4 linked regions of the Saccharomyces cerevisiae S288C genome follow. The gene in region 4 interacts genetically with the main gene of each other region. Each region holds a gene or a part of one and is shown on either strand. Other genes may lie near its edges.

Region 1 (7,514 bases), on a different chromosome or scaffold from region 4:
CAACATCACCCGGAAGTCAAAGATGGGGAAGCTGCATGCCCATTCTCAAAGATGAACAACGCCAAAACATTAAAACCTGAATCCGAAAGAAGCGTAAAATGTCACTCATACATGTCATTGCACATGAGCATTGTAACCGGTATAACAATTTTTACCTTTGGTAAGTGTATCCTAGATGGATTCAAAGCATGAACGACGAAGCACGTGACACGTTCCCTTCAAACATCACAATTATTTAAGCGAGACTAATATATATGTTTAGCGAAAAAAAAGGCCAAAAAAACTAGTAAATATACAAAGCAGAGTATTTTTGGCTCTTGTCCACATTGGATAAGAGAATATTTATTTTTCACACAGAAAAAAAAGTTATATACGTATCTCTAAGAAAGTCAAAGACAAATTACGTAGAATGTGATTCATTCCCATTTCGCCCGTACACTCTCTGTCTCTGTCTCTGTCCCAAACTTCCCTTCCTATACGTATTCATAATCTGCTTAAACGTCAACAGTAGTTTCGGAACATCTTCATACGTAGGGAATACGACTTTTTTCTTTTCACCTGCAGCTTGAGCCAAACTAAAACTGGGATCCGGATAAACTATTAATAAAGGATCGCAAAGTCCATACGCCAGTTTAATGGGAATGAAATGATATTGCGAAGTGACGTCAAGAATCGACTTTAAGCTATATCCGAAGTCAAGAAAGCCGAACCTTACATGCGGTCGGAAAGCAAACGAGGAGATTAGATTGGTTTTCATATCCGCTAAATTTTCTTTTGATTTTACTTTGGCTTAATCTAATGCATGTATATCGGAAGAAGCAACCGATCTGGCCCAGTTGAGTCGTGCTACCTTAGTCATGCCCAGGAAAACCGGATTCCTTCTTTTCATTATGACATCCGTTTAGGTCAATAGGCTTTTTTTTCTCTCGCCCGTGCCTCTCCGTGTTCGATGAATGTGCAGCTTGCCTCCGAGCGGGCGAGCCACCTCGAGCGGGTGACGAAATAGTGGAAAAGAAACGGGGAAGCAAAACTGTGCTGTTCTGGCCCGCAGCGGACGAACGTCATTAAAGGCGCTCCATTTCTGTCGTGAGGGTCTTTCGGTGCGGTGGTGAGGCTGCGTAAACAAGCTTGCTCTTCATACCCCTCCCGTGGAGCTAGTTCGGAAGGACTATTGGCGCATCTTCTGTTGAGAGGTTCCGTAATTCTCCGTAACGTCCCGTTCACCACTTTGCATGTGCTCTCACGTACGGCCGTCTCTTTTCGGCCTTCGGCCCGTTCCGATTTTTGTACCCCTTACGTGCTTTGAATTCTAGAAGGCATCTCCTCTCCGATGGCTTGGTACAGGGAGCACTAGGGAAATTGCACATGGAAGTATCTGGAATACAAAGTTTTTGAAAAGAAAAGCCGAGCGTAATATTGGGACAATACCCAGTTCTCAGCCTTTTCAGCGCGGGTATGAGACAGCTTGCAACAGGTAAAAGGAAGTTAGAAGGGTTAGGTGAAGGGAACGATGATGCTGCCTGAGAACAAAAATGCAGCTTCATGTTACATACAATAAAGGAAGGATAATTAAGGGGACCATGCAATAAGGGACAACTTAATTTTGGAAAAATCGGAGCTTAGTTGCATCTACCTACTAATACTTTCCCCAAAGAATAATAATACGAGTACAATACATATATATATATATATATAATATACACATGTAAGTGATGACTATTCTTAATACAAAAAAATTTCCCTTTTATAATAACTATTCTTAGCATTAAATAACCCGTTACTGACAAAAAGCATATAACATAGGACTCAAGATCGACTCTCATACCCTCCGAATCAAATTCTCACTCGTATACGCAATCATTTAAATAAGCACATCATTATCAGCATATACCGAATAATAAAAAGCAAAAATGTATACAAAACTAAGATCTATACAATCAGGAACATTTAGCACAGTTTATAAAGCATGGAGTACTACACATAACCGCTACGTCGCTTTAAAGATTACTCCTAAATACAAAACTTCAGAAGCCAACATGAAGAACGAGTATGATGTAATGAAGATTTTGAGTTCTTGTAATCCTCACCCCAACATCTGTTCGATGCTCGACTTTTACACGGATGACTCGTACTACATCATGGTGCTAGAATACTGCGAATGTGGTGATCTTTATGACTTTCTAGATATTGCTAAGAGTCAAGGTAGCCCGTCGTCTCCATCTTTGATTCAAATTGATATGCAAAAGATAATCAAACAACTGTGCTCAGCAATCAGCTTTGCTCACAGCTTGGGTATTGCTCATCGTGATATCAAACCAGAAAATATTTTGCTAACGATAAATGGTGACATCAAGTTGGCAGACTGGGGTCACGCTATCCAATCCCCTAAATCTAACGACTTCCAGATTGGTACCGATAATTACAGGGCGCCAGAAACTTTCTCTGGCCGCGTTAGTAACTCTTGTTTTAAGAAGAATTTCGATCGGTCATCGGCTCCATTGTATAACACATACCAAGCTGACTATTGGTCATTGGGTGCCACCATATTTTATCTGATGTTCGGCGATTGCCTTTTTAGAGTCTCCAAATCAAAGAAGGTTCAGCATCTAAAAAATTTCGATGAGTTTGAAAAAGATCCATTTGCATTCATTTACAGGAAATACGTAGTACCAAGGCTCTCCTGTGGTTACAATGATGAAGAAGACCTACACGTTAGCCTGCAGCATACGAGGCAGTACATATGGCAAGATCTACCCGACATTTATGATGTCTTCCATTTGTGCAAGATTATGGTTGATACCTTATTAAAGGTATCGAACGCTAAAGAGAGGTCGATGGAGAATTTCATCAATGAAGTTGATTCTGCATGGAACAAAGATAGCTCGATGGACAGCTGCTTCTCGTACCAAAATAAGATTGATCTGTTTTGGGAACAGTGGTCTGTGAACACGGAAACAGTACCAGCAAAGTTCCAATTGAAAAATTTTGAGAAACCTTGCCTAATTCAAGATGGAAAATAAGAAGTAAAAAAGACCTTTTGAAAGTTTCGCCTCATTTTCCTTGATCTGACTTTTTATCCCCTGCTTATCCAATTTTAGTTAGGAACTTTGGCATAATTTCAGTATTACATACTACCTAATCGACATAAAATAATATTACATATTCATTTTTTTAAAAAATAATCATAATCAATTTATCCTTTTTATTCCTTTTTTCTCCTGTGCAAGGTTGATGGTGATGTTTATGATGGTGTGTTTATTATTTACAAATAAAGATGCTATCTAATTCTTGTATATCGTATTAACATGCAAATGCACCGCGAGTGGCAATTTTCTTCTCGTAATGGATCAGTTCAACATCTTCAATGGTATGAACCAGAATTTTCGAATTTTCTTCGTTAAATTCGAATATGAATGTTCCCTTAATCAGCCGGGATAATCTCTTTTTTTTACTTCTTTTACCGTCGCCATCATTTTTCTTCTTCTCATCTTCTTTGGAATTTTGAGTTTCGTTGACCTTATTTTCCATTGACCTTTCAGCTGCATTTTCAAGGTACTCAGAGATAACACTTTGGTTCAAATTATTGGCTGTAGGATGTAAAATGTAGTCTATGACTGGTACCGACCTCATTGAAAATGAACCGCCTGCACCATTGCCTCGTTTCTCCTCTTTCAATCTGTCATTAATTTCTAATTTGGTAATCTTGCAATGGTCTTCCGGTATGCAGCTTTGCCATTTGATCACCAATTTGTCATTACATGTTATGGTATTATAACTCTGAAGAGCAGATTTAACTTCTTCATCATGCGATGTCGATGTTAGAGTCTTTACTGAACTTATATGCAAGCGACATTCATCGCCCAAGATAAACTTTCGTACTATCATTCGCATTGCATTCAAAGAAGCCATGTATTTTGATTTTCCATGTAACACTGGAATATATGGATGCGATGTTGGAAATAGTCTAAAAACAACGTTATCCGCCAACACTGACTCCTTGAACATTTTTTGTAACAAATTGGGAACACCTTTAACCACTAAATAATCTGTTATTTGCCCCAAATTGGCCACTTTTTGAGAATTGGAGTACCATCGAGGAAAGATTCCTTTGATAGATATTATGCCGGCTCTGCAAACACACTTTAGTAACATAAGTCTTTCCCCCTATTATCTATGAATATAAACTGTCTATCTTTCCTTGGTTGTGATGTATCGTTTTCCGTAGAGGCTTGCAGCTTTATGGCTCATACCTGTCATCCCTCTTTATGGGCCTTTTAAGGGCGCTCTCTACATTGTATTCTATTCATTTTTTTCGTAACCGTAACTACGCGCCTTCTTAACGCAAGGCGCTCGACTCATCATGAGATGCGTATGAATGTCTTTCAGTGTATAGAAATACATCTCACCAAATCTATTTATTTAACTAATATTTCTTTTAATATTTTCCTCAAGAAACTCAGGCAGTTAATGTTGTGTCCTATTTTTTTTAGTTCTTTCCCATTTTTATAGCACTCGTACAAAAGAAATCGAAATATTTCAATATGTTTAGACTCGGTTCTATGTGTTAAAACTGCAAGATGAAAAAGTAACATCTATCTTAGATTAAGGTCCTTTCTTTATATTCTTTACTTTATTAGTGAGCAGAAATATTATTAAAAATTGCCGCTGTCATACTGTACGATATTATTACCCGACCGCAGAATGTTCCTCAATACTTTCTTTTTCTTCCTTTTTTTCACTTCGCTTTCTTCATGTCCATCAATGAAATTTCAGCTTCATAGCGATTTATTTTCAGTGTACGTTATTCAATGAAGATTCCTTTTCCTCGATCTATCCAGACGACTAGACATAGCGAGAATTCTTTACGGTAGAAGCAACCTATAGATTACCGAATCATAACTTTCTTTAGTGTTGATTGAGACGTGTTGTGTTTAAACTATCCATTGCATCTCGATAAAAAAACATAGTACTACAACAAACAGTCAGGTTCAATAACACCTAAACATTATGTCATCTCAGTTTTTCCTGAAAACCTCTCAGGATATAGAGCTCTTCCAAAGCTACCCAACTTTTGAGCAATCCAACACAAACTCCAAGGATTTCCCTGTCATTTCCTCGGTTTTATCGCCATGTGGCAGATTTTTGGCTTTATCTACGAAGGAGAACGTCAAAGTTTTTACAGGTCCATGTTTGGATAACGTTCTATTAACAATGAAGTTGTCCGACGTCTATGACCTACACTTCTCTCCAGCAGGTAACTACTTAAGCACTTGGGAGAGAGCGTCTATACAAGACCCAAATCACAAGAACGTTAAAGTTTGGTATTTGAATAAACCATTTAAGAAAGATTGCGTTTCGGAGGATATAGTCCCTGCTTACGAATATCAAGCCAAATCCCAAAGCGGTTGGTTTTTACAATTCTCCAAATTAGACAATTATGGGCTAAGACTTTTTAAACACGACTTGAAGATTGTTAAATTAAGCTCCGCTAATGCCGACAATTTCGACTTCCAATCTCCGTTTGCTGTCTTGTCTGATGATGAAACGTCCCAACATTTCACCACCTACCTAATCTCTCCAGCTGAACATCCAACAATTTGTACTTTCACACCAGAAAAGGGTGGTAAACCGGCTCAATTAATCATATGGGCCCTCTCTGAAGGTAAAATCACCAAGAAAATTGCCTCCAAAACTTTCTTTAAAGCTGATTCCTGCCAATTGAAATGGAATCCATTAGGTAATGCTATTTTATGTTTAGCTATTACTGATTTTGATTCCTCAAACAAATCATATTATGGTGAAAACACACTATACTTACTGTCTTTCCAAGGTGTCAACGGGACTTTGGGTGGTAACTCTGTACGTGTTTCTTTAACCACTGGACCTGTCCACGATTTCACTTGGTCGCCAACTTCAAGGCAATTCGGTGTCATCGCTGGTTACATGCCAGCAACCATTTCCTTTTTTGACTTAAGAGGTAATGTTGTCCATTCATTACCTCAACAAGCCAAAAATACCATGCTTTTCTCTCCCTCTGGTCATTACATTCTTATCGCCGGGTTTGGTAATTTACAGGGCTCCGTGGAAATCCTAGATCGTCTCGACAAATTCAAGTGTGTGAGTAAATTTGACGCTACCAACACTTCTGTCTGCAAATGGTCACCGGGTGGAGAATTTATCATGACAGCTACCACTTCACCAAGATTGAGAGTGGATAACGGCGTTAAAATATGGCATGTATCAGGCTCTTTAGTATTTGTTAAAGAGTTCAAGGAGCTTTTGAAGGTAGACTGGAGGTCACCATGTAATTACAAAACTTTGGAAAACAAAGACGAAGCATTTTTCGAGAACCATATCATTAATAACTGGGAACCGCTACCTGATTCGACCACATCTTCACTTGATCCTAAAATATCCAATAAATCAGAATTGCAAATACATTCTAGCGTTCAAGAGTACATAAGTCAACACCCAAGCAGAGAAGCAAGCTCCAATGGAAACGGATCTAAGGCCAAAGCTGGAGGCGCTTATAAACCACCTCACGCAAGAAGAACAGGCGGTGGACGTATTGTCCCCGGAGTTCCTCCTGGTGCAGCAAAGAAGACCATCCCAGGGCTAGTTCCGGGCATGAGTGCCAACAAGGACGCCAACACCAAGAACAGGAGAAGAAGAGCCAATAAAAAGTCAAGTGAAACGTCACCTGATTCTACTCCGGCCCCATCTGCTCCTGCCTCCACAAATGCCCCCACAAACAATAAAGAAACTTCTCCAGAGGAGAAGAAAATAAGATCTTTACTAAAGAAATTAAGGGCTATTGAAACCTTGAAGGAAAGACAGGCCGTCGGTGACAAACTAGAAGATACGCAAGTTCTAAAAATTCAAACTGAAGAAAAAGTGTTGAAAGATTTGGAAAAGTTGGGTTGGAAGGATGAATAAACTAGAAGAAACTGATGTATCCATACAACTGTGTAAATATTAACAACGTCAAATAATACTACTTTGAATTGTTTTTTACTGTTTCCCAGGAGAATTACGCCAACCTCCCCCCTTTCTTTTTTTCCCTTGTTTTATTGTACTTTTCCACATATTTTTTTAACATCAAATAGTAATTGATACATACATAATTAGTGAGCATTTTCCTTATTTTTACGTCTCTTCTTGGCGGATTGCCACCAGCCGCATCTTACAATGTATGCCACGATACCGCCAGGCAATAAATGAATATGGAGTGTCACTTCGGCTCCGTAAGCCGGCGCTGCATCCGCCACCACAGTTTTTTTTAGCGTCGCTGTCGCCGCTTTGCCACAGAAAAAGAAAAAAAAAAAAGAAACGGCGCCGTGTAGGGTTTTGTATAACAGATCGGCCTAGCAGCCAGGAGATGGCACGGCGCCAACTGAAAAGTTAGACTGTGGAATTGCCGTTCACCACACTCGAGTGGCATCTAATAAACTGCCACAGTTGACTCAAGCGGTGCTACCTTCGCAGTTATTGCACACCATGGTAACACATAACAC
Region 2 (9,747 bases), on a different chromosome or scaffold from region 4:
ATGATGCTTTTGATAAGTACTTGAACGATTACGAAACGGAAAAAATCAGGAAGGAAGAAGAAAAAAACGAAAAACGTAATGAGCCTAAGCCATCTACAAACTGATTGATATTTCACAATACAAAGAAATGGAGGAAGACTGTTCTACATATCTTGCTTATTTTATTGAAAGCCAGACATCTTTCTTTTTCGGTAGAACACTGTCACGTATTTACCATATAATCTAATCTGAAAACATGTAAATATATATACGTGTATAAATGCACCTATATCTATATATGATCAAAGCGCTTCTGTGAGGCTGTCATTGGTTAATACACGCGATCTTTTTTTTATCGCTGATTCCACGGCTTAGCCTATCTTATCTTCAGTATTCGCATGATACACTTTTTCACTGCGTCGTTTTGTTGGATGATATCTGTCCGACAATAAACGTAGGTCATCTTAAGGGCCGGTGATAGAGAAGAGCATGCGGTTCCACTTTAGGCCAACCCACATTCCCAAAATATAAGAATACAGCAGCGATTTTTTTCTATCGAATTATTTTGTTTTTTGTCTCCTCTTTGTTCTTCACTAAGCTCAGAGCCCTAGTTGTTGAGGGAACAAGAAGAATGCAAACACTAGACGAGACTTCAAATCTACTCCCTCCACCTGAGGAAGCTGAAGCCCCTCCCTTGGAACAAAAATTTCATGAATATAATTTGGCCTTACCTAAGTTTCCCATTTTGTTTTCGCTATGGTTGGGTAGTTTTTTGAGTTCCTTGGATAGCACTATTGTCGCAAATATAATGAATAGAGTTGCTGAGGAATTCTCTGAATCAAGTAAAAAGCAATGGATTGCGACGAGTTTTCTTTTGACAAATACGGCTTTCCAACCACTATATGGGAAGCTTTCTGATATAACAGGGCGGAAGTCAGCATTATTAACCGCTCAATTTTTTTTTGGCCTTGGGTGCTTATTAACATGTTTTGCCAGAAACGTCACGGAATTCTCAATAGCAAGAGCCATATGTGGTATTGGTGCAGGAGGATTGAATGCTATTAGTAGCATTGCTGTTAGTGACATATGTACAGCAAGAGAAAGGGGCGTTTACCAGGGATATGCGAATATTGTTTTCGGGTTTGGTCAATTACTAGGTGCTCCGTTGGGTGGTGTATTTATAGAAACCATTGGATGGAGGGCTCTTTTTGGTATCCAAGTACCCGTGATAATGTTGTGCTCGGTATTAGCAATCAAAAACATTAATATTAAGCTATTCCATGTTCCTCCTATGAAAGAAAGATATACCTTAAAGAATCTGTCACGGATAGATATATTTGGCTCATTAAGCCTGGTGGCGACCATTAGTGGAGTTTTATTTTTGTGCTCTAGCCAGTTGAACAAGTTGTATTTAGCATTGTTTACCATTGGTAGCTTTATTGTTTTTATCCTGGTTGAACGTTATTACGCGACTGAGAAAATTTTACCATTCGAACTATTGACTCGCTCATTCTGTTTGAGCTCAGCGGTAACGGTTATATCTTCATTTGTTGTATTTGGTGAAATCTTTAGGTCACCAATCTATTTACAATTGCTTCAAAATATTAGTGTAACAAAGACTGGCCTCTTTTTGATTTTCCCCTCTATATCAGTTGCAGTCGGATCATTGGTAACAGGATGGGTATTGCGGAATACGAAAATTAACCTAGCACACTGTGCATATCAAATCATTTTTGGTGGTATGATAATGCAGCTATTGGGTTTGGGATTGGGCTATTTCCTACTTTCACACTTGAATCCTGACTACACCATATATGATATGCTTGAGTCTATTACATTCAGATCTAACTCAATATGGTGGAAATTGATATATGTGTTTGCATCAGTCCTTGTGTCCTTTGGTTACGCTTGTCTATTAGTGGCCACGTTAGTAAGCATCGTATTCACCGTCGAAAAATCACAGCAAGGAACCATGACTGGTGTTTTCTATTTGTGGAGATCCATTGGTAACGTTCTTGGTGCCTCTTTAACTTTAGTGTCCTATGAGAATAGCCTGTCGTCCATGTTATGGAATTATATGTTCAAAACCAAGCGTGATGACGAATATCACTTCACCAAAAAGCAGTACTACTCCCTTATCAATGATTCGAGTTACTTGAGAGGGCCCAATTTTCCAACGGATATATTTGTTCGCATTCTTGATGTCTACAAAAAGGCATTCCTGATTTCCTATATTCCAAATATAGCCCTGGCAGCAGTGGGAATTGTTTTATCGTTATATCTGGTGAAACATACTTACAAACGTAGTTCAAGTTCTTGAAAAATTGAAAATAGACTTTATATTATATACCTTTATAAATCCAAGGTCAAAATCCTTCTAGGAATGAGCAATTCTATTGCATCTTTTTCTACATTAAAGGATTTCAGCATTTCGATATCTATTCCTAGTTTTTGGCACTCTATTTTGCAACTTTCCGGGAAAAAAGGTTCAAACGGATATTGCAAATAATACATGATCAGCACATTTTTCAATTCTTTGCTTATGTGATCTCCCGCCATATATAGTCTTAACGCAAAGGCCATACTCTTGCAACTGATAATGGGTGGTACACCTGCATACCCAGTACATAATCCAGGAATAATAAGACCATCAATGTCTTTTGGAGAATGCATCAAGGCATTCCACATGGCGTTGAAAACCGGTTCAAACCCTGTCTTGAGGGGATTCTGCGGATTAAATATAGGAGCTGATGGGGCTACAACGGTCGGAACATGAATAATATACCTAATACCATCTCTACATTCAATTGTTTTCTCTTCAAGACATCGCTGTAGGTCAACCACTGTAGCAGATCCGACCGTGTGATATCTTCCTCCAAGCTGATTCCTGAACCATGTTTCAAAGGGCTTTCCCCCGAAATAATTATACAAAGCTTTATCGAACCCTCCTCCAAGATAGCCATACGAGTTACCAGGTGAAACAATTGCGTAAGAGTGGCCATGATGGATTGCATCACCTTTACGCATTGAATCCATAAGAGATTGAAGGTGCCCATGATGAATACAAAGATACTTATCATTTTGAATATATGCATGGGGTATAGATTCCTGCCAGAGATTGGTAACTACTTCGTTTGTATCGCATAATATTATTCTCATTTTTTTTACCCCGTTCAAAAGTGAGTGTCTGTTTAAAGATCCTGTCATGATTATGAATGTCTGCAGTTTTCCCAATTTTCCCAGTTCAAAATTACGAAGATGGCTTGGTGGTTTAAGATGTATTATGGACCATTATACATAGGGGATTCAATTCGTAAAGTTTAACCGTTAATAAGAAACACCCACACCTGAAGTTTTTACGAAAATCAAATGCTTCTCTTCTGTTATTGTTTGCTGCTAGGAACACGTATAGGAACACGAATAGGAACACGAATATTTATTGTTCATCCGATTATATCGCCATTGATTGCAGTGGAAACGGCAAAAAAAAAAAAGCATATAAAATGGAGATTTCTTGATTATTCATTATTAAAAAATCCTTTATATGTTACAGTGCATGGAAGCCATCGTTCAGAAGTTGAACGAGCACGAAAAAGAATAAAATACATAACTTGTACAAGGAGAGAATTTCTGCCGAGAGTCCCTATTTCTTTCTACCAAAGATTTTTTTCAGTTTTTTGCCGAAACTACCCTTCTTTTCTTTTGTAACGCTGACTTCCTGTGCTTGTGGGAGCCTGCTTTCGCCGTTCTCTGGATTACTAGAGAAGCGTAACCTATTGGTCATCGAAGGGTTTGAATTTTTTGCAGGTTCAGCTTCACTGGCAGCTCTTAAAGATAACCCGCTGAATTTCTTGTCCACCTTTTTACTTGTAATGGCAGGATCGGTGGTAGTATGATTAGGACTTGAGACTCCAGGGGAAACCACATTATTTTCCTTTTGCTTACTTTTGCTCTTGAAAAGCGAAAAAGCACCGTTACCACCATTACTATTTTTGTTACCGCTGGTTTTATTGCCTTCTGTTTCTGTGTTGTATTTTGATGGGCCTTGGTTGAAAAATTGGGACTCATCTTCTGAGTCTGAATCCGCAAATCTTGATGAATGACCCAAATATTTGAAAAACTCCTGTGCTGTATCGGTTCGATTCACATTTGTGCTATTCTGGCTAGCTTGCCCATTATAGCTTTCACTCAATGCCTCCTCAAAATTACCATTTCTCAAAGAAAGCTTTTTAAATCCGAGATGGGATTCATTGCTTCTCGTCTTCTCAAAACTAGATTTGCGAGGAGGTGGTTCTTTGGGGTACAAAATACTATTCATGTCCTTCGTTGAAGGTTTATTGTTTTGCGCGATCTGTGATCCTCTCTTTATATTCTTATTGATTTGGTTTTTAGGTTTATTTGGGCCATTTGACTCATATACACTTGCGGGCTCTTGAATTTGCTGCGAATTTTTAGACAGAGAAGCCATAACCGAATTTCTTTTTGGTTTACCCTTCTCTGGGGTTCCTAGGGGTATAGCAGAATGGCGTTTATTGTTTATTTTCTCTGGGGGAGAAGGCGAATTTGATCTGATGCTTCTGAACTGGCCTACTGACTGAGGTCTTTTTATAGAAGATCGTTTTAAACTTGCTCTGCGTGATACGCTGTCGGACATCGTCATTTGAGCATTTAATCTCGTATTTTCAGCAGTCGTAAGAGACAGGTATGCGCCATTGGCGGGAGAGTTATCAGAGTACATGGATGAGTCATGGTTGGACGATCCTGACGATTTTTTAAGAGCAGATTTGATTGGTGTAACTACTTTCGTTACAGGAACCATAGGAGCTTCAGGCTTGTGAAACTTTTCTTGCTCAGCTTGTTTCGATTGGTTTTTTCGAGAAAGGTAGGTATTTGAGGTCCTTAAATACTGAGCCAAAGAAGGCGTTGGTTCTGTTTGATTAGAATGATCGGTGTTCTTGGAGGAATTCGACTTGCTCGTTTTCTGATCGCTTTCTTCTACTGTATCGAAGAATTCATCCTTAGTATCGCCAACATTCCCTTTTTTGGAAGAAGTATTAGCACCAGAAATTTTCTCACAACAATTGTCTGGCTTTTCAACTTTTTTTGAACTCTCGGTCCCTTCCAAGGTATCCTTCTCTTCTATTGAGCGGGATTTTTCATCAAGGTCTTGTGTGGGAGACGATGTTGTGTCATTCTCTAGATTTTTATTGCCATTTTCTGGTTTGGAGTTTTCAACTGATCCTTGGGCCGAATAACTGCCGCTAGAAGAAATGTTGTTCAGTTGTTCAACCGACTTGTCATCCACTTCGGCCTCCGGAAGAGGATGTTCTGCTACTGGTTTATTCCCCTCCCTCTTCTCTTCGTTGTCGTAATTAAAAGTTTTCTCAAGAGTAGATGCTTGACGGTTATTTTTTGGCCATTGTACATCGCCTTTTACAGTTTTTTCGCTTATGAAAACATCTTCTTGATCAGAATTTAAAGGTTTTTCCTTCCCTTTTTCTTCAATAAAACTTTCTAACTCAATGTTTTCATGTATTAGTTTGCTTAGATCATCTTTTTCAATGTTTAGTGAAGAAGGTTTTTCTAGATTATTTTCGCTATTGACTACTGTTTCGGATTCGGAAGAGTTAGAATTATCAAGTTTCAACTCTTGGTCTGTTTCTTCACGAACTTGTGTTTCAATGAGAGGAACATTTGAATTTATTGGATGTTTCTTGGCAAGATTTCTCTCCTGAACCGCCTTTTGGCCTTTTTTTGCTTGTGTACTTGATGTATTCCCTAAAGACGAAGTCTTCTTTGGTTGAGAATGTAAAGATTCCTGCGATACTTTTTTTCTTAAAAGTGAACCATTTCTTGCATTCAAGGCACTGTGGGCAGAGTTGGAACGCCTTAGCAATTTAGAAGTATTGGCATTGCTTGGTTTTTCAACGGGGACCTCAATTGCAACCAGCCCGTTGGGCCCAGGAATATACTTTCGCGTAGTCCTCAAAGGAATAGACCCGCTAGGATTTTCAGTACGGTGTTGTCCCGTTAAAATTCCTCTGGCCTGTGGTCCGCCAAAATCCTTGAACGTACGTTGAGCCTCATCATAGCTTATTCTTTGGTGTGTTTTGGACTTTTGACGTTGTAAACCAGAACTGTTTCTGCTTTGCTGACCTCTCTGGTTAGGGAGACTCGAAGTTCTATTGTGAGACCTAGTTTTGTGCTGCGGTTCCTTCGTTAAAGGAGAATTTAATGAATCTCCCTTCCCCATTGATGACCGTTGGGTAAGGCTGTTTATTTTCCCGGGACGACCTTTACCATCGCTCCTTCTAGATTCCGATGATATACTAGAAATAGAAGACATTCTTTTGGGGGCAGAAGGTTTTCTTAAGTTTGTCATCGAAGCGGATCGATAGGTCGGCCTTTGTTCGTTATCAGATTGATTACCCTTCTTCATTAATAATTTACCGATACTTGCTGCAGCTGCCACTGCTGTCGGGTCCGCCTGTTCCATTTCTGGTGCAGTTGTTCTTCTTCTAAACATTTTTAGGAACGAACGGCTGGTGATTTGTGGAATTGGTTGGTATGGCTACGTGTTGCTGTTGTGTTTTATATGTTTTTATCCAATTTGTCGGTAAAGTAAGGGAGCACTGAAAATTTAGCGAAGAAATGAATACTTCCTTTAAGGTTATCTATCGTCCTTTTTTGCATGTTGACCCTCGCGCCACACGGCCAGCCCGCTGCCGCAGTGAGCTAAAATTGGGCCTGCTTAGCGGCGACGCGACGGGATTTTGCGGATTTACTGTTGACGTTAAAAGATGTGGCAGTGACACCAATTGCAAGAGATTACCTTGACCAATAATTAAGTTATTTGGCTATAGAGTGTGAACATCTATTCTACATACTGCCCAAAATATAAGTACTTGTTTTAATGAAATTAGAAGGAATTAAAGAACACTTTTTTATATATCCGGGGCCGACATCGCCGAGTCCCTTGGCAAATCAACTCCGATGTCTTTCTTGATCGCTAACCAGTAAGAAATTAATTGTAAAGGAATAACGTTAAGTATCCCTTGGAGACAATCTACGGTTTGGGGTACCTCGAGTGTAACAACGTTTCCTTTTTGTTTGTCTTGCTCCCATATCTTATGCCCCTTGTTACAAATGATAATCGGATTGCCCTTCCTTTCTATTATTTGGTCAATGCAAGACGCGATTTTGGGCGAAAAAGCATCCTTTGTCGCAAAGGCGATAATTGGCGGATTATCAGATGCCACAGCTAGGACTCTGTGTCCTAGCTCGTTGGTAAGAATACTTTCAGAATGCACGTAAGAAATTTCTTTCATCTTCGAGGCGCCTTCCAAAGCAGAGGCAAATTGGTAACCTCTTCCTAAAAGCAAAAATGTATCATGCTGTTTTAGTTTCTTGTCACACAATTCAATAATCAATGGTTCAAGCTCCAAAACTTCTTTTATTTGGCTTGGGACTATAGTTAAGGCTTGAATTATTTCTTTCCTCCTTTCTATTTTAGACACCAAATCTTCCGACATCCATAGGGCAATCATGACTAAAGCGATGTATTGAGAAGTATAAGACTTGGTTGTTGCAATACCTTTCTCGGGGCCTGTGTTTGTATGAACACCGCAATGTGTAAATCTTGAGATAGAGGAACCGCTGCAATTAACTACCCCGATTGTGACTGCCTCTTTTTTGATACAGTAGTTCAAAGCATTAATTGTATCAGTTGTCTCCCCACTTCGAGAAACAAATATGCAAACATCGTTCCTGAAAATGCAACAATTGCGGTCAACAAAATCCAAGGCCAATTCAACGTTTACTGGAACTTCCATTAACTCCTCAAAGATGGGACGGGCAGCTAGGCATGAATGGAAGGAGGCCTTGGATGCAATCATTATTATTCGTTTTGCTCTTCTCAATTCTGTCAACCAATTTTCTAGTCCTCCCAAAACTACTCTGTTTGTAAAGGCGTCAACTCTTCCTCTCATGACATTTTTTGTTGTTTCACACTGCTCGTATATTTCCTTTTGCATAAAATTATCGTAAGGGCCTTTTTTGATTTTGGACAACTCCAATTCTAATTTTTGAACTGTTCTAAATGAAAAGTCCTCGGAACCAATTTTAGAACAATGGATATGAAGCTCCCCATCATAGATATGGGCAATATCATTATCCTCCAAATATACTACTTTACTCACATACCGCGCTAGTGATGCACAATCGGATGACAAATAGAATTCCATGGGTCGCGGCAAGCCGTTCTCGGCTGGCGTTTCTGTGGATGAGCCATGATTGAATGTAGAAGTTGTAGAGTTTCTCAGGTATTGTGAACGAAGGGGGGTGACTTCCTTAAACAAGTGTTATATTTTACAGGTGCGGCAGCCAAGACATTACCAGAACTCTTGGTTTGAGTATTAAGCTTCAAGTAGTCTTCTTCTTGATCCAAATATTCCACCTCGACAAAGTTTACGTCCATGTCAGTTTTACCTTTAACACCAATAACTAACGGGGAACCCTTTCTTGCGGCAACCACTTCATCGGGAAAATGAGAAGAAGTGCATAGCAGACCATAAGAGCCTTCCAATTCTTTAAGTACTAAATTTGTTAATACATGGAAATCGAGGTTGTACCCGAGTTCAATGCTTGTATCATAAATGTGTTTGTACAGTTTAGGAATACATTCGGTATCAGTGTCACTTTTGAACACATAGCCCTTTGCCATCAATAAGGCTTTCAAATTAGCGAAGTTGGTAATAACCCCGTTGTGTACCACAACAAATTCATTAGATGGATCTGAGTTATGTGGATGACAATTTGCACGTCTTAGCCCTCCATGTGTTGCCCGCCTAGTATGGGCAATGCCACAATGCGAAATAAAGGGCAGGTTCTTATTAAGATTGTAAAGGTCGATTTCTTCCTTCAAACTGCTTATTTTACCGGTTTGCTTATAAATATTGAGAGACTCCAGCTCATCACCTTGGATCGAAATTCCACTGGAGTCATATTCCTTGTACTCCAATGCCTGTAACCCTTCGATTAAAGTGTCGATGATTTCTCCTCTTGTCTTCTCAATTAAAAAATTGCAATAGCCAAAAATGCCACACATTCTTCTTCTTATATTGGGTTTTTAATCTAGTTTATTGGATCATCTTTTGAAAGTCTTTTTTACAAATTCCTTTTGTTTTATAATTTAATTATAAATGTTCAAAGACGTTTCTGAATTGTAAATATAATTCAGGGGACGGCATCAGTTTGATTCCATACACTACGTGCTAGTCTAGCCCAGCATGACTAAAACGAAAAGGGGCGCCTTTAAAAATGAGGAAGAAATCCAAATCCTAATGACCTTCAAGCGCATTTTTGGGGCTGATGTTTTAGTTCGAATGTCTCCTATTGTTAAAAGAAAGACTGCCTCTTACCTGCTTTGAGAGAGGCTGATTATTAAGAACACAGGACCCTTAAATCGGCGGCTTGTGAAATTTCTCCGAATTAAAATTCTGGATGTTCAAGAAAAATATTCTCTTCGGCCCTTTTATCGTGAGAGTAATATCGAAGTGTGCAAGGAAAAATCAAAAACGTGAAAAAACTTATACGGTTAGGTTTGGGCGGCTCGATGCTTGATGGTGATAATGTCTCTCAAACGTTCTATGTGTCGACGGAAGCCAAATTTGGGCTATTTCCATTATCACTACTTGATATAGAAAAAATACTGGTACTGCTTCTTGATTTAGTGATTAATCTTTGCTCCACTATATATTTATAAACCTC
Region 3 (7,755 bases), on a different chromosome or scaffold from region 4:
CCGCCAACATGGCCTAACTTAGCAGTCCTCGCTTGTGTATCTAGGTCCGCGTCCGCTAATTCGCGCGGCTTGCCACTTAACCCCGTCCAGTTAATTTGCCAAGCAGCGGCCGCACGTTGGAACGTTTTCGCCGATTTATTTATTATTATTTATACATGTTGACGTTGGTGCCCTTTTGTTTATACTGGAGCCTAAAACGTACCTCAATTAAATTTAGTGTGCCATATTATAGTGCTATTAAACCTTTATTTTTATTTTTAATTTTAAAACTGCTTTGGTTCTCTCCCTCCCTTACCGTTGCCACCTTAAGACTCACTGATATTTATTCATACTTACAAGTGCTATAAGAAAAGACTTGATTTATTAGCTTTACAGCGTTTTTACATTTGTGTCACTGCTATTATATTTTTGTTTACCTCTTTTTGTTGCTGGTGTTGGCGCTACCATTGTTTTTTTGTTTTATGAGTTACGTTTACAAAAGTTCTTAACATTTACTGTACGATAATATACTAAGGTGAAATACTAAAGTAAAATAAAATAAGAGAAAGAAAAAAAAAAAAAAAAGAAAAAAGTAATGATGATGTTCCATAATTGCAGAATTAATAACTACTTAATAACTTCTCAAATTGGCGAAGGCGCGTACGGTCTGGTTTACCGTGCCTTAGATATTCGTACCGATAGACAATACGCTATCAAAGCGGTTGTTCAAAGTTACGGTGTTAGCAAGGAGGCTGATATGGGCAATGATAAAATACACAAAAATAGCGTGAAATTGCAAAAGAAGCTCGCTAAACTGTTCAAGGAATCGAAAAACGTTGTCAGGGTGCCCTCTATAGATCTAGAATCAATTGAGAATATGTCAGAAGAAGATTTTAAAAAGCTGCCCCATTATAAAGAGATTTCGCTACACCTAAGAGTCCACCATCATAAGAACATTGTCACCATACATGAGGTGCTACAATCTGCAGTCTGCACGTTCATTGTCATGGATTATTACCCAACAGACCTATTCACGTCTATTGTAGATAACAGACATTTTGTCACTAATGGACTGCTAGTAAAAAAGGTTTTTCTACAGATCTGTTCTGCTCTTAATTATTGCCATGAGCACGGCATCTACCACTGTGACATCAAGCCTGAAAACTTGCTACTGGATACAGAAGATAACGTTTTCCTATGCGATTTTGGTCTATCCACTACTTCCACATATATAAAGCCAAATGTTTGCATTGGTAGCTCGTATTATATGCCCCCTGAAAGAATCTCATTTGATGGGAGAGTTTCCAGCTCTAAAAGTGGGGGACATAAGTTGGGTAAGGTTTGTCCCTCATGTAATGGCGATTTGTGGTCATTAGGTATCATCCTTATCAATTTGACATGCATCAGAAATCCCTGGCTGAAGGCTGACAAAACCGAGGATAATACCTACTATTATTTCACTAAGGATCCCAATATACTAAAGCAAATCCTACCGCTTTCCGATGACTTTTACTCATTATTATCTAAGATTTTACAAGTGAATCCGAAGAATAGAATGAGCTTGCAAGAGTTGATGAAAGAAGTTAGTTCTATTACAAGCTTCACCAATGAAGGCCCGTTATCAAAAGTGCCGCCTCTTTCCAAGTCTGTTTATGAAAAGTTCGTTAGCCCCGTCGATAACACGAATGAGAATTTGTCTCCAAAATCCTACGTGTACATGCACGATAGTAAAGCTGCCAAGAATTTATCTTATACATCTTCAAGTGAGGAAGAAGATGGAATCAAAGAAGGGATAGACGATGATAATGGCAGTCGCAGTGGCAGTTTCGGAACGCTAGACACAGACACTGGATTGCATTCTTCGTTCACAAGCACTTCTTGCGAGTCCGATAACGAATGTTCTAAGATTTCCAACAAATTTTCCTTGTTCGAAAAAAAATTCAACGAACTTCGCATGAGTTCCTCTTCTTTAACTAACTAACCCCCTCCTTTTTGGCACAAAAGTGTACTACACATCTGTTTTAAGCCCACAATTGATAGACCTTCTCTTGATGATCATCTGTTTTCCCGAAAATATTACTTGCCAAAGCAAGTTGTAGTTATATTCACACTTCCGTTATGACCCCCTCATCCGTTTAATGTTATTTGTTTTTATGGTATTCCCTTTATTCATTTTTTTTCTTGCTTTTTTTTGTTGATCCCTGTAACCCCTTTTTTTTTTTTGGAAGTTGCTATTATTATTCATTCACATTTGTTCTGTCTTTGTTAATTTTCCAGGTCACCGTATTTAATTTCTATATAACTGTTTCTAATATTTACTTCGTTTTATCCAAGCGTTATTTACTCAATATTCAAAACTTTACTTTTTACCACCTGTATAACATCTTTTTCAATTTGATAAAACGTTTTGAAATCTAAGGGAACAATGTCACAGTCAGTTTCGTCGTTGATGTCTGGTAACTCCAGATCCCTGAATTGAGACTCCATCATATCAGCTTTCATGAAATGACCCTTCCTTGTTTTGAGCCTTTTCAGAACTTCTATTTTACTTGCATACAAAAAGATAAAATGGAACTCCGATTCAGGGCATGTGTGCCTAATCAAATCTCTGTATTTCTTCTTCAAGCTCGAGCAAGCAACAATTGACAAATGCTCCTTAGTGCTTGCTGCAGCTTTTGTAGATTCTACGGCAACTTTTTTCAACCAGTCCCAACGGTCGTCGTCATTTAATGGAATCCCTCTTGTCATCTTTTCTACGTTGGCAGGCGGGTGTAAATCATCACCTTCGATGAATTTCAAATCCGGGTATATATCTTTAAATTCATGGATTAGTTCACCTGCAATGGTTGATTTTCCTGTACCTGCAGTACCTGCCAATACAATAACCTTAAATTTCCCCATAGTTTTGTGTTTCTCTGTCATCAACTGCGTTGTCCATCCATACGCTTACTGAGACACTATGAAAGCCTGTTTAGTCTTCGGAAAGCTATTTATTGCTTGCTACTTGAAAACCTTTTGATTATCGATATTTTTTAACGGGACCTTATATAATTATTGCTTGGAAACTAACGGTGTTATAATTTTTGACAAACTAATTAGCGACGTAATGAAAGCAGAAAAACCGCAAGAATATGAGAAAGGGAAAATATCAAAGAAAACAAAATATATTCCTTATATAACACCATCTTTTGTACATAAATGAATTGGCAAGCACATATTGTGCATGCATGCAAGGGGCAGAATCTTAATACTAAGTAATTTAATTATGCAAACATAACCCCGTATTGAGGCCTTCCGCCGCATTTAACGACCAAATCTATGAGTTTTAAATCAGACACCCGCCTTAACAGGTCCCATATAGTGCTATCAGATAAAAGTTCGTTTTCTGTCAATGATGGATTGTAATAATATTTCAGGATAAATTTCTCTATGAGCTGTAATCTTGATCTATTCTGCAAAAAAAACTCAAAGTTCAGACTCCCTAGTGAATCAGCATACGTGAAATATAATAAAAATATTACAGTCGTAAGGGGTTCAATAGACGCTAGTTTTTGCACTGTAGATCCAGAGACGTATAGGATTAAATCTATTGATTCAAATAGAGAAACAAAGGTAAACTTAGGGCTTAGGTCAGTTCCTTGCATATCAATACCTTGAAAAAACCATTCTATAAAAGGGGATATCACATCATATGGATTCTTCAAAGTAAAATGATTACCTAGAGACTTCACACATTCCCTACGTGTTAAAAAAATATGCATATTGTTGTAAAAGTTTTTAGGGAAGTCTTCTTTCGATGTATCTTCAGTGTTCATTGAACACAAGTCTAGCTCTTTAGATGTATCAAAATCGCCATTCTGCATATCTTGATAGTGCTTTCTGGGAAGAAAATGAGAAATATTTTTCAACAGGATAGGATGATGATCTAGTAGTAGTCTAAAAAAAGTTTCATGCTCAAATAATGTAGGGATCACAATATTTCTTGAATAAGCTTTTATATTACTTACGCCAAACTCCAGGGGATCGAAAAGATATTTTTCCCACATGATCTTCGATAATAATGAAAAAGATGGCTTCAAGCAACTATAGAAGAACCTGTTCAAGGTGACCATCGACGGTTCACCCTTTGTGAAAACGAAAATATGTTGAATAATCTCTACAGGTAAATCTTGCAAAGTTAGCTTTTGATGATGCCTAAGTTTCTTCGCAGGAAGCCTGATAGTCCTTTGATCTTCCGATATTGGCCTCTTGGATGAAACCCGGGTCTCTAAGAGATGCACATGGTGCTGCAAGTTTATCGAAGACGATGCATACCGATGCAAAGGAAGTGCATGTTTCTTTCTCTTATCATGACGGCTAGAATATCCTGTCAAAATATAACCCATGGCCACTTATTCTAAAAATACACTGCGTGAAAAAAGCACTGCTTACTTTAACAACATTAGTCCTCTTTAAATATATTTCATTACTCATCGCAAACTGAACAATTCTTGATGCTTAATTCTTACTAGCTGCAAAAAAGACAAGATGAAACGCGGTGTATGGTTGGACGATATAGTCTTATCCTAAATACACACAACATATATTGCGTAATAAAGAGATCTTCCTATCTATAGCACAATTTGAAGTTGAAAAGGCGTATCTAAAATGCTAATACTAAACAAGGCATCATGTTTTTGTCCCATTCACGTAGCACTGGCGATTTGCTTCCATATTCTTCTGTGTACAATAATAGCTTGGGTGGCTTTTTTCACAATGGGCTCTACGCGAAATTGTCGCAGCCCCCTGTTGGCCGTGCTGTGGGCCATTCTCGAGACTAGAATGAAACAGAAATCTACAAACATGAAAAGGTAGAGTAAAGTCGAGTAAGTAGTAGAAAAGAAAAGTGATATTGGCATACACGATAGCGAAGTTGTTCATATCTATTATCACCAGGCCATTCATTAAAAACTTACCGCTAAATTGAAAAAGAGGCGACTGCCAACATACTTGCCCTTTTTTTTTTCGCTATTATTAGTGTCCTTTGATTACAAACTACATCCATTCGAAAAGCTTGTAACCAACACTAAAGTCTGTGATTCTACCCAAATATTTGCTCTCCGTCATTTCTATTCTGTTTGAACTACTGTGCATATATTTTTCTTTTTGTTTCCTACATTTTATTCCCGGCATATCTCGCGATAGGTATATTGAATAATGACATCTGCATTAAGGGTTTTGGTATGCGGAGATCACCCAAATCTCATTCTGTACACATCCAGGTTTCAACATGCCAAAAATATAGAATTTTATCTTGTGAACAACTCAAAAAATGCCAACTACGAGGTTAGTTCACTATTTTATGGGACGGAACGGTTTCAGATTCAAAACCATTTCCAATCGCTCCTAGATTTAGTAGACCTTAATAATGAAAATGGTGGCTTGGTATTCGACTTGATAATAATGAGTGCGTCTTCACTGCAAGAAATCCCGCAGGTATTGAGAGATATAAAACCTATGATGAATAAGACAACAAAGATACTATTTGAAAGTAGCGGGTTTATATATTTGGAGCCATTCATCAAGGCTTCAGTTGATCTTTCGCTGTCAAATATTTTCAGCATTTTCACCGATTATGACATAAGACGGTTGGACAATGGCTCATACAAACAGTTCACGACTGCAAATGCCAAATCCTTTTCTGTTTCGATCGGTCAAACGACATCCGTTCACGAAAACAGCTATTCAAGTGATATTATTCCTATTTTGAATACATTTCAGAAATTGTTCCAAAAACTGTTTCCTAGGGACGTTGTGACTCTTTACGATCATTCTCCCTCCGCTTTCTTGGCAAAAGAATGGGAACTAGCTTTGCCTCAAATATGTTTCGATCCATTATTAATAATATTAGAAGAGAAGAATCCATCAACCTTGGATGACCACGTTTTGGCCAAACCTCTTATTTCAGGTTTACTAGGCGAGAGCTTATTAATAATAAAAAAAATGGGTATAGCCATGAACAATCCAAATTTTCAAAATGAACAGACTATATTGAAACATTGGAAGAATAAGTGCGAAGACTTACCTGATGGGCCGGCACTTTTATATAATTTCATCCATAAGGCTTCATCTTTGAATATTGACTTATTGTTATTACAGCCGATATTATTAGCAGATGACTTTGGCGTGAAGACACCATATTTAGAATGTTTGTTTACAATGATGACTCAATATCAATTGTTAAATAAAGGTGATTCTGAATGGTTTATTAGAAAGGATGAGAACACAGCGTTAACTCGCGTTGATGATTTACAAAACAGTATCGCACTTAAAGATGGAAAAATCATGCAGCTGCAAAATTCGGAATCAACCCTGAAAAATGAGATAAAAGAACTTCAAAGTCAAGTTTTGAGCTTAAAACAAGAAGTGTCCTCAAGTAAAGCAAATAATGGACAAGAGTTGGAAATTTTAAAGAAGAAAGTGCAAATGGGAGACAATTCATTATTTGATCGCCCAAATAGTAATACTAATGGTATATCTCCCTCTGATAACATTGTTGATGTTGATTTAAATTACGAAAGGAGTGACCAAGGTAATAATAGTAGTGGTAATGATAGCAGAAGACAATCTTTTTTCAACTCCACATCTGATACAACATTATCCAGAGATGAAACCTCGTTGAAAGAGCGTGAGTTAGAAGTACGAATGAAGGAATTAGAACTTCAAGAGCGTGAGTTAGAGTTACAGAGAAAAGCCCTCCAGCAACAACAACAATATCAACAGAGACCGCCTAAGCAAGTATACTCCGGTCCTTCTGGTACACCAACCAGCGGCAATAACAATAATAAAAGTTACAATCCAAATAGAAAATCTTCCTATAGTCAGCCTCAACATGTGGCTATGATGACCAGCAGAGGTCTACATGGTCCTAGCGCTGCAAGCTCTAGCCCTGTCATTTCTGCCAACAATTTTGTTGATCCAGTTTCTTCTGGGACGCCATATAGCAGCAATAGTTCTCGATTTAGTCAGCAAATTCCATCGCAGCAATACATGCATACTGTTAAGCCAACGAGTAGAAAAAACAGAAGTAGTGTCATGCCTAATATAGGTTACGTCCCAGGGCTAACCAATAACGAGTATGGTAGAAAGTTTAACGGTAATGGTATGAATGGTACCCAAAGCCGTCTGAATTCACTTTCAAACCAAAGTACGTTTAGATCTCAACAGGGTCCACCGATAACACAGCAAAAATCGTTTCAAAATAACGGTGGTAGCATGAGGACAAATCGCATACCATCTGCAAATTACAATATTTCAAATCAGCAATCGGGTTTTGTTAACTCTATTTCAAGTCCAAATCTAAGCAATTTGGAGAATAGAAACACAGTACAAAACAGTAGAAATGCGGATTCTGCTCCGTGCGTTAATCAATTGAACAGTGACTCTCCGCCCCAATTACAGTCTCTATCTCAAAACGGTACCTCAAAAGTTCCTCAGATCAATATTACGCAACCATCACCAATTCAGACCAACTTTGCTACGAGTGATAACCCTGCTGCTGTAATAAAACTAGGGACACCTTCTGAAGATACAGTTTCAGCTGCGGCAACAGCCAATAATATAAGTACAATGGGAGATGAAAGCCGCAAAGAGGACGTTAAGGAAAAAAAGAAGAAAAAGTTCAGTTTCTTTGGAAAAAGGAAAAAGTAACAAATACGCGAGCCCTTGTCTTTCCAATCCAAATAATCCGTTTTTGTTAATGATATGTTATATTTTATCTACTTATACATTTTATCT
Region 4 (6,272 bases):
ATTTCAGGGACTCAAAAAAGGTTCAACTAGTCTCCACTGTAAGCACATTCTTGCATTCTGAATATACGAATGAGTATCATTAACTCAAAACCGCGCCCTCTTATACGAGACCTCCAAAAATGGATCGTTCATGAGTAAAGGCATCTCAATAACAATAGCAATAACAATAATGTTCATGAGGTGAAAGGTGGCCCCTCGTTCATGTAAGAGAAGCTGGCCGAGAAATTCATATAAATTGAACTGCTTTGGTTACCTCTCTTTGGTATATGCCTCCACTCTTCTCTTCCTAGTTAAGCTTATATCAGCACAAACAAAACAAATAAAATGGTCAAATTAACTTCAATTGCCGCTGGTGTTGCCGCCATCGCTGCTACTGCTTCCGCAACCACCACTCTAGCTCAATCTGACGAAAGAGTCAACTTGGTTGAATTGGGTGTCTACGTATCTGATATCAGAGCTCATTTGGCTCAATACTACTCTTTCCAAGCTGCTCACCCAACTGAAACCTACCCAATTGAAGTTGCTGAGGCCGTTTTCAACTACGGTGACTTCACCACCATGTTGACTGGTATTGCCCCAGACCAAGTGACCAGAATGATCACCGGTGTTCCATGGTACTCCAGCAGATTAAAGCCAGCCATTTCCAGTGCTCTATCCAAGGACGGTATCTACACTATCGCAAACTAGAGACAAACGCCAATTTAATGAAGGAAATGCTATGAAACTTAGATAATGAAATAAAAAAAAACCCTTTTTTTTTTTTTGGTAGTATAAATATCTTTATACGTACATACGTGAACAATCACATCATATCTGTCAATTCTCGTTGTAACCATAACCTAGCACTTATTTCAGACTTTCCAAAGGTCGCAGTATCTTTATGACGAGCCATCCCATGTAAAAATTGCCGTGCCGGATATGAAGTGACAAAGATCAGTCTATATCTCGGAAAGCCAACAAATATCTTCATTATGAAGTAACGTATAGTGATTGCTTCCACATCTGTTCAATTCGGACAATTTTCGTTAGCAGTAGAGTCAAAGCGATCGCCTTAATTGTCTCCGTATCTTATTTATTCATGAACAGCATGACAATTGACAGTCACTTGAATGAAGTAGAAAGTTTGATTGTCACGGTCATCTGAGATATACTACCGGCACCTGATCCCCGCTAATTAGGCAAGGCGAAACTGTCACCAAGTTGGACATATTAGACATTAATAACTTCTCTGAATCGCTCTCACTCCAAAGCAGTGACATTAAATTTTGCTTTCATTCGTGAAAGAATCGACTAATAAATTATCATTTATAATTCAACTTCAGTTGAAATAAACAACTCATCAAATTTTCTTTCCAAGCTTTTTATAATGGACTTTTCGTCACCGCTAACAAGTAAAGGATTACATTTGACACGTATATAGATTTTTCTTACGGTTTCGAAAATCTGATTGATTGCTTCAAATTCATCATCAGCTCCACTTAGGCTTTTTTGTTCAAATCCAATGACAATCTTCAGGCCCGTCTGCTTAATCAACATAGCAAATACAGAGACACCTTCCAATTGAAAAATTGACTTCAGAAGAGGTTTGGAATCTAAAGAATGCCATTCAACCAAAGCACTTTCAAAATAATCTAACGATATGTTAGAAAGCACGTTATATTTGAGTACATCATTCATCTCATTCTCCGCCTCATTAGGGACGTAAATCAATATAGGTTTATCAGATTCATCTATCAATGATACGAAGCAAGGCCTCAAGCTCATAGTTTGGTGATATAAACGTACAATTTGATTTTTGGAGAGAATATTTACTCAATTTTCAACTCAATAACTTTTATGTAAAATGTTTCTTGGCCGTCGATGAGCTCTTCCGGCAGAACTTCGAAAGTGAAAAAAAAAAAAAAAAAAAAATAATAATAATATTAATACTACTTATATACTATTAAAAAATCGTTTAGAAATGATTCATTTATAAAATTCGTTACTTGCGGTCATTGGCAATAGATTCAGCTGCGGTTCTCCCAAAGACAACGCATTCTAACAAACTTGAACCACCCAACCTATTGGCGCCATGAACACCGCCAGAAACTTCACCGGCCGCGTACAGGCCTTTTAGTAGCCTTTCGTCGTTCTTGCCAATGACTTGAGCCTTGACATTGATTCTAGCACCACCCATGGTGAAATGGACAACCGGTGTTACTTCACCAATAAAAACCACAGTTTCTGGAGTAACGTCAGAGCCAAATTCGTTGAGAATAACGGTACGTCCCAACGGATCAGCCTTGGTAGTGAAGGAAGAGTATGTTTGCAATTCCTCGCATAATTGGGCGACAGTGATTGGTAAATTATATTCAGAAACAACTTGAGATAATGTCAATTTCTGTACAAGTTTCTTGAACATGTAAAAATCTAAATTATTCTTCAAATCTGTGTACATTTTTTCGCCCATAACCAATAGTGCTCTGTTATCCTCTTGAGGACAAACCTTTTGAATAGCTGCAGTGACTACATCTCTTGTGGTCAATTCGTTGACAAATCTTCTACCGGTAATAGGGTTTAATAGGATACCACCAAGACCTCTTAAGGATTCGGCAGCCAAGAATTTCCAGCTTGAGCTACGGTCATTTGGATCAATGAACCCAGTTGGATGAACTTGAATTTGGTCCATGTCAATCAGATCAGCGCCTAACTTCTGCAGAAGCCTTTGACCATCACCAGTTGTTTGTTGCCCGTTTGTTGTTGGCAAGTTCACCAGTTCGGGTGCGTATTCTTTAAGCATTTCCTTAGAAAAGCCAAACCCTCCAGAACAAAAAACGACATCGTTAGCACTCACCATGTGCTTTTCGCCATTCTTGTCCTCGTACACTACAGCAGAAATGGAGCCATCCTTTTCATGGATGTCTACGACTTTACTGTCTAAGTTAATCTTAACTAACTCTGGTTTAGTCTCAGCTAATTTCTTCAAATTGTTAGATAAGGCAGAAACAATTTCGAAACCTGGAGGCAACTTCCCAGACGATCTGTGAGTTCTTGCCACAGAGTGGCCACCCAATTGAGCCAATAGGTCCAATTTCAAATCAAATTCGTTTTTCAACCATTCAATAGCCAGGGGAGAATCATTGGCCAACTTAGCCATTAATTCTTGGACACCTTTACCTTTAGCAGACTTGATGGTGTCATCTTCAAATAAGCGTGGGGAGTCCTCGATGTGGAAGTGACGTTGAGTCTCGGTGCAAGCACCGTTAATACCACTGGAGGCCTTGATAGAGTTCCCACCGATCGAGGAAGCCTTTTCGAGGATGGTTACAGGGATGTTATACTTGTTAACCAATTCATTGGCAGCAGCCAGCCCGGCCAAACCGGTTCCAATAACAACAACGGGAGAGAGAGACATTTACAATTACGGATGAGGGGTTGTTGAAGTGAAGATAAGAAAAAAAAATGGGGTGCTATGTCAGCGTATTGTTCTCAGCTTTTATACGTGCAATAGATTAAGCTGTTCAGGAACGCGACGCGTTGCCCCCGTTACCGTTTGAAAAGAAAAAAATTTTCTTTTTCATACCTGTCTCTATTGTTTCAGTCATTCACTGCATGATGACAAATGAAAGAAGAAAGACAATAGTAGTAAAAGCAAAAAAGGAATTAAAGTGAACGTTTTTTAGACTCTTACGCATACATATAAATATATATATATATTTGTATAAAAGGTGTACGTCGAAATCCTGTGAAGAAACCCTGCGAGAATATACATGGGTACATTCAATCTTAATACGTAGTATCGTAGAATACAAAGAAATGTGCTTCTCCACGTGGATACGTACCGTTGTAAACTTTAATCAAGTACCAAAAAAACCAAACATATTCAGTCGATCTCTCAATGGGGAACAAAGAAAAGAGGTTCTTACCTTTTTTTCCTCCTTCCCTCAGAAAGACCACCTTCGTCCCTCCATAATAGGGTAGTTAGTCGCTAGGTGCGCTGGAAACTAACCATTGGTTCTCAAATGTGCCGACATAATTAGTTATAATTATGGTGTGAGAGTTGAAATATCCTTGAATAACAAAACAGAAAAAAGAAAAAACCCATTTGAATATAAAAATCATTGATGCAAAAGAAAGCCGTTAAATCTACAATGCCACGAAATTATTGTAATGTATGAAAAAAAGGAAGAGGGTAGCAATCCTAAAACAAAAACCCTAACAATACACATGATGCAACTGGAACGCATCAGTATTTGTAGGTTTTTATTTCGCGGATAGCGTTGCCATCAACGTCGACCTCGGTGGATTCACTACGGTAAATCTGGGTAGGTCCGTTACAGTCGAAAGGATGTTCTTTAGCATAGTCGAAGGCCTCGGAGATGGCCAATTTGACTTTTTCCAAAGTATCTCTGGTGACTTGATAGTGGAACGAGACTCTACCACCCATTAGCTTAACGTTGTACTTCAAACCCTTCTTAACAAGGACATCTGGGTCCATTCTAGCGGCCTTCAGGTTAATAAAGACAAAGTTGGTGTCTGCTGGAGACTCTAGCGGGATGCCCTTTGCCTCACAATATTCGGCTAATTCATGAGCCAAAGAGTGCGAGTACAGCAATTGGGACTTCCAATCGTTGTTGATGTTTACAAGAGCCATTCTAGCCATCATACCAGATTGTCTAATACCACCACCTTGTTGTTTTCTGAAATGGGTGGCCTTCTTGACAAACTTAAGGTTCCCAACCAAGACGGACCCAATAGGAGCACCCATAGACTTGGATAGACAGATGGAGATGGAGTCGAAGATTTCCCCATATTGCTTTAATGGCACGCCAGATTGTGCAGCGGCATTCCAGATTCTGGCACCGTCACAATGTAGTTTGAGACCATTTTCCATACACCAAGCTTTGATGCGGACCAGTTCTTCCAATGGATAAACAATACCGTGTAAAGTGTTTTCCAGAGAAATCAATCTGGTGGGGGCACCGTGAATATCACCGTCGTCTGGGACGTAGTGTGACTTGATGTCTTCCAAGGTCAAGTAGTCACCGTTGGAAGGAACCACAGGAACCACCATCGCTTGAGACAAGATCGCCAGTCCAGCGGCTTCGTGAGTGTAAACGTGAGCCCTGTAATCACATAGAATAGAGTATGGAGGTTGCATCAAGTGAGTTCTGATGGCAATCTGGTTGGACAAAGTCCCAGAGACACAGAACAAACCTGCTTCTTTGCCAGCCATGCGGGCAACGGTCTGTTCGAGCCTAACGGTGTCAACATCTTCACCGTAGACAGCGTCACCGATAGAGGCCTCTAAAGCGGCCTCCATCATCTCTGCAGTTGGAGTGGTGAATGTGTCTGACCGCAAGTCGTTAGCAGCGGTGATATATTTTGGAGGCAATTCGAATTCAGTCATTGTGTTTATGTTTGCGTTTGTGTGCGGGAGTAAAAGTGAGTGTAAGCCTAGGAAAGGAGGTGGTTACGAACTAGCCAGCGGAAACAATGTACGTATATGTATGTAAGTATTACTCTATACCAGACAGAACAAGATAGACGAGAAGGACACATGGAGGATTTGACAGGCAAGCTCAACACTTGCTTATATATATACACATATGTGCTATTGCAAATGCAAAAAGCGTATATCCAGTGAAGAAAAAGACGAAAAAAGACGAAGAAATAAAAAGAAAAACCGGTGAACGAATATGGCAAGTGAAAAAGTGCGCAATGAGTAATACAAAGGGCGAAGCAGCGGGAAAAAAGAAACGGCGCTGCTGCCCGGAAACCGGAAGCGAAGCTTTGTGGGGTACGGGTGCATGCTCGGCTTTTTCCAGATAGGGGAAGTGCCGTCGCCAAAAAGGCAAGGGTCCGTTTCGCGTGACATTTCATAGCGGGCCAAGCGTGGGTCACGTGCTGCACAGGCCTGCCGCTGGCATGATTTGTCAGCACATATACAACAAGAAGTATTGGTTGCGTTGAAGAAAAAAAGAATAGTAATAACAATTTGGGGCCGTGTGTAAAAAAAATAGGAAACAGCTACCCCGGCGTGCCGTGTGGCTCTCTGTGCGAAGGAAGGCCCTGTCGCCGCACATATTCGATGAATATCGATGACGACGACTACCTTCTGGTTGCATAGTTTATTAGTCTGTGCCTGTTCTTCGGCGAGTGAGTAGATGAAAGAAAGAATGAGTTAGAGAGAATTCTAGGCCAGGTTCGGCTTAGTTAAGCTTAGCTTACTTTGGGTTTACTTAGCGTGCTTTTTTTCTTCCGCGCTGAGACGGTGAGGAATGGAAGTGTAA

What was found.
Region 1: mutations in TCA17 (region 4) and MCO32 together harm fitness more than expected from each alone (negative genetic interaction), as found in Saccharomyces cerevisiae (one large-scale study listed by BioGRID).
Region 2: mutations in TCA17 (region 4) and SEG1 together harm fitness more than expected from each alone (negative genetic interaction), as found in Saccharomyces cerevisiae (one large-scale study listed by BioGRID).
Region 3: mutations in TCA17 (region 4) and YDR249C together harm fitness more than expected from each alone (negative genetic interaction), as found in Saccharomyces cerevisiae (one large-scale study listed by BioGRID).

The regions. Positions count from the first base shown.
Region 1 is NC_001139.9:591,686-599,199, forward strand, and holds MCO32 (Mco32p), read right to left. Parts: upstream 4,153-7,514; coding exon 3,301-4,152; downstream 1-3,300. Other genes in the region: SCM4 (Scm4p), read left to right, coding at 1-192; YGR050C (uncharacterized protein), read right to left, coding at 401-757; protein kinase FMP48, read left to right, coding at 1,911-3,020; YGR054W (translation initiation factor 2A), read left to right, coding at 5,008-6,936.
Region 2 is NC_001145.3:435,966-445,712, reverse strand, and holds SEG1 (Seg1p), read right to left. Parts: upstream 6,506-9,747; coding exon 3,623-6,505; downstream 1-3,622. Other genes in the region: m-AAA protease subunit YTA12, read left to right, coding at 1-104; VBA1 (Vba1p), read left to right, coding at 611-2,299; PDL32 (putative ADP-ribose 1''-phosphate phosphatase), read right to left, coding at 2,332-3,186; YMR085W (uncharacterized protein), read right to left, coding at 6,924-8,222; YMR084W (putative glutamine--fructose-6-phosphate transaminase), read right to left, coding at 8,297-9,085.
Region 3 is NC_001136.10:955,439-963,193, forward strand, and holds YDR249C (uncharacterized protein), read right to left. Parts: upstream 4,365-7,755; coding exon 3,243-4,364; downstream 1-3,242. Other genes in the region: putative serine/threonine protein kinase VHS1, read left to right, coding at 575-1,960; YDR248C (gluconokinase), read right to left, coding at 2,320-2,901; PAM1 (Pam1p), read left to right, coding at 5,176-7,668.
Region 4 is NC_001137.3:63,404-69,675, forward strand, and holds TCA17 (Tca17p), read right to left. Parts: upstream 1,765-6,272; coding exon 1,306-1,764; downstream 1-1,305. Other genes in the region: seripauperin PAU2, read left to right, coding at 325-687; FRD1 (fumarate reductase), read right to left, coding at 1,982-3,394; threonine aldolase GLY1, read right to left, coding at 4,226-5,389. UniProt on the Saccharomyces cerevisiae protein: Required, together with the TRAPP II subunit TRS33, for TRAPP II complex assembly or stability, and for proper Golgi localization of TRAPP and the Rab GTPase YPT31.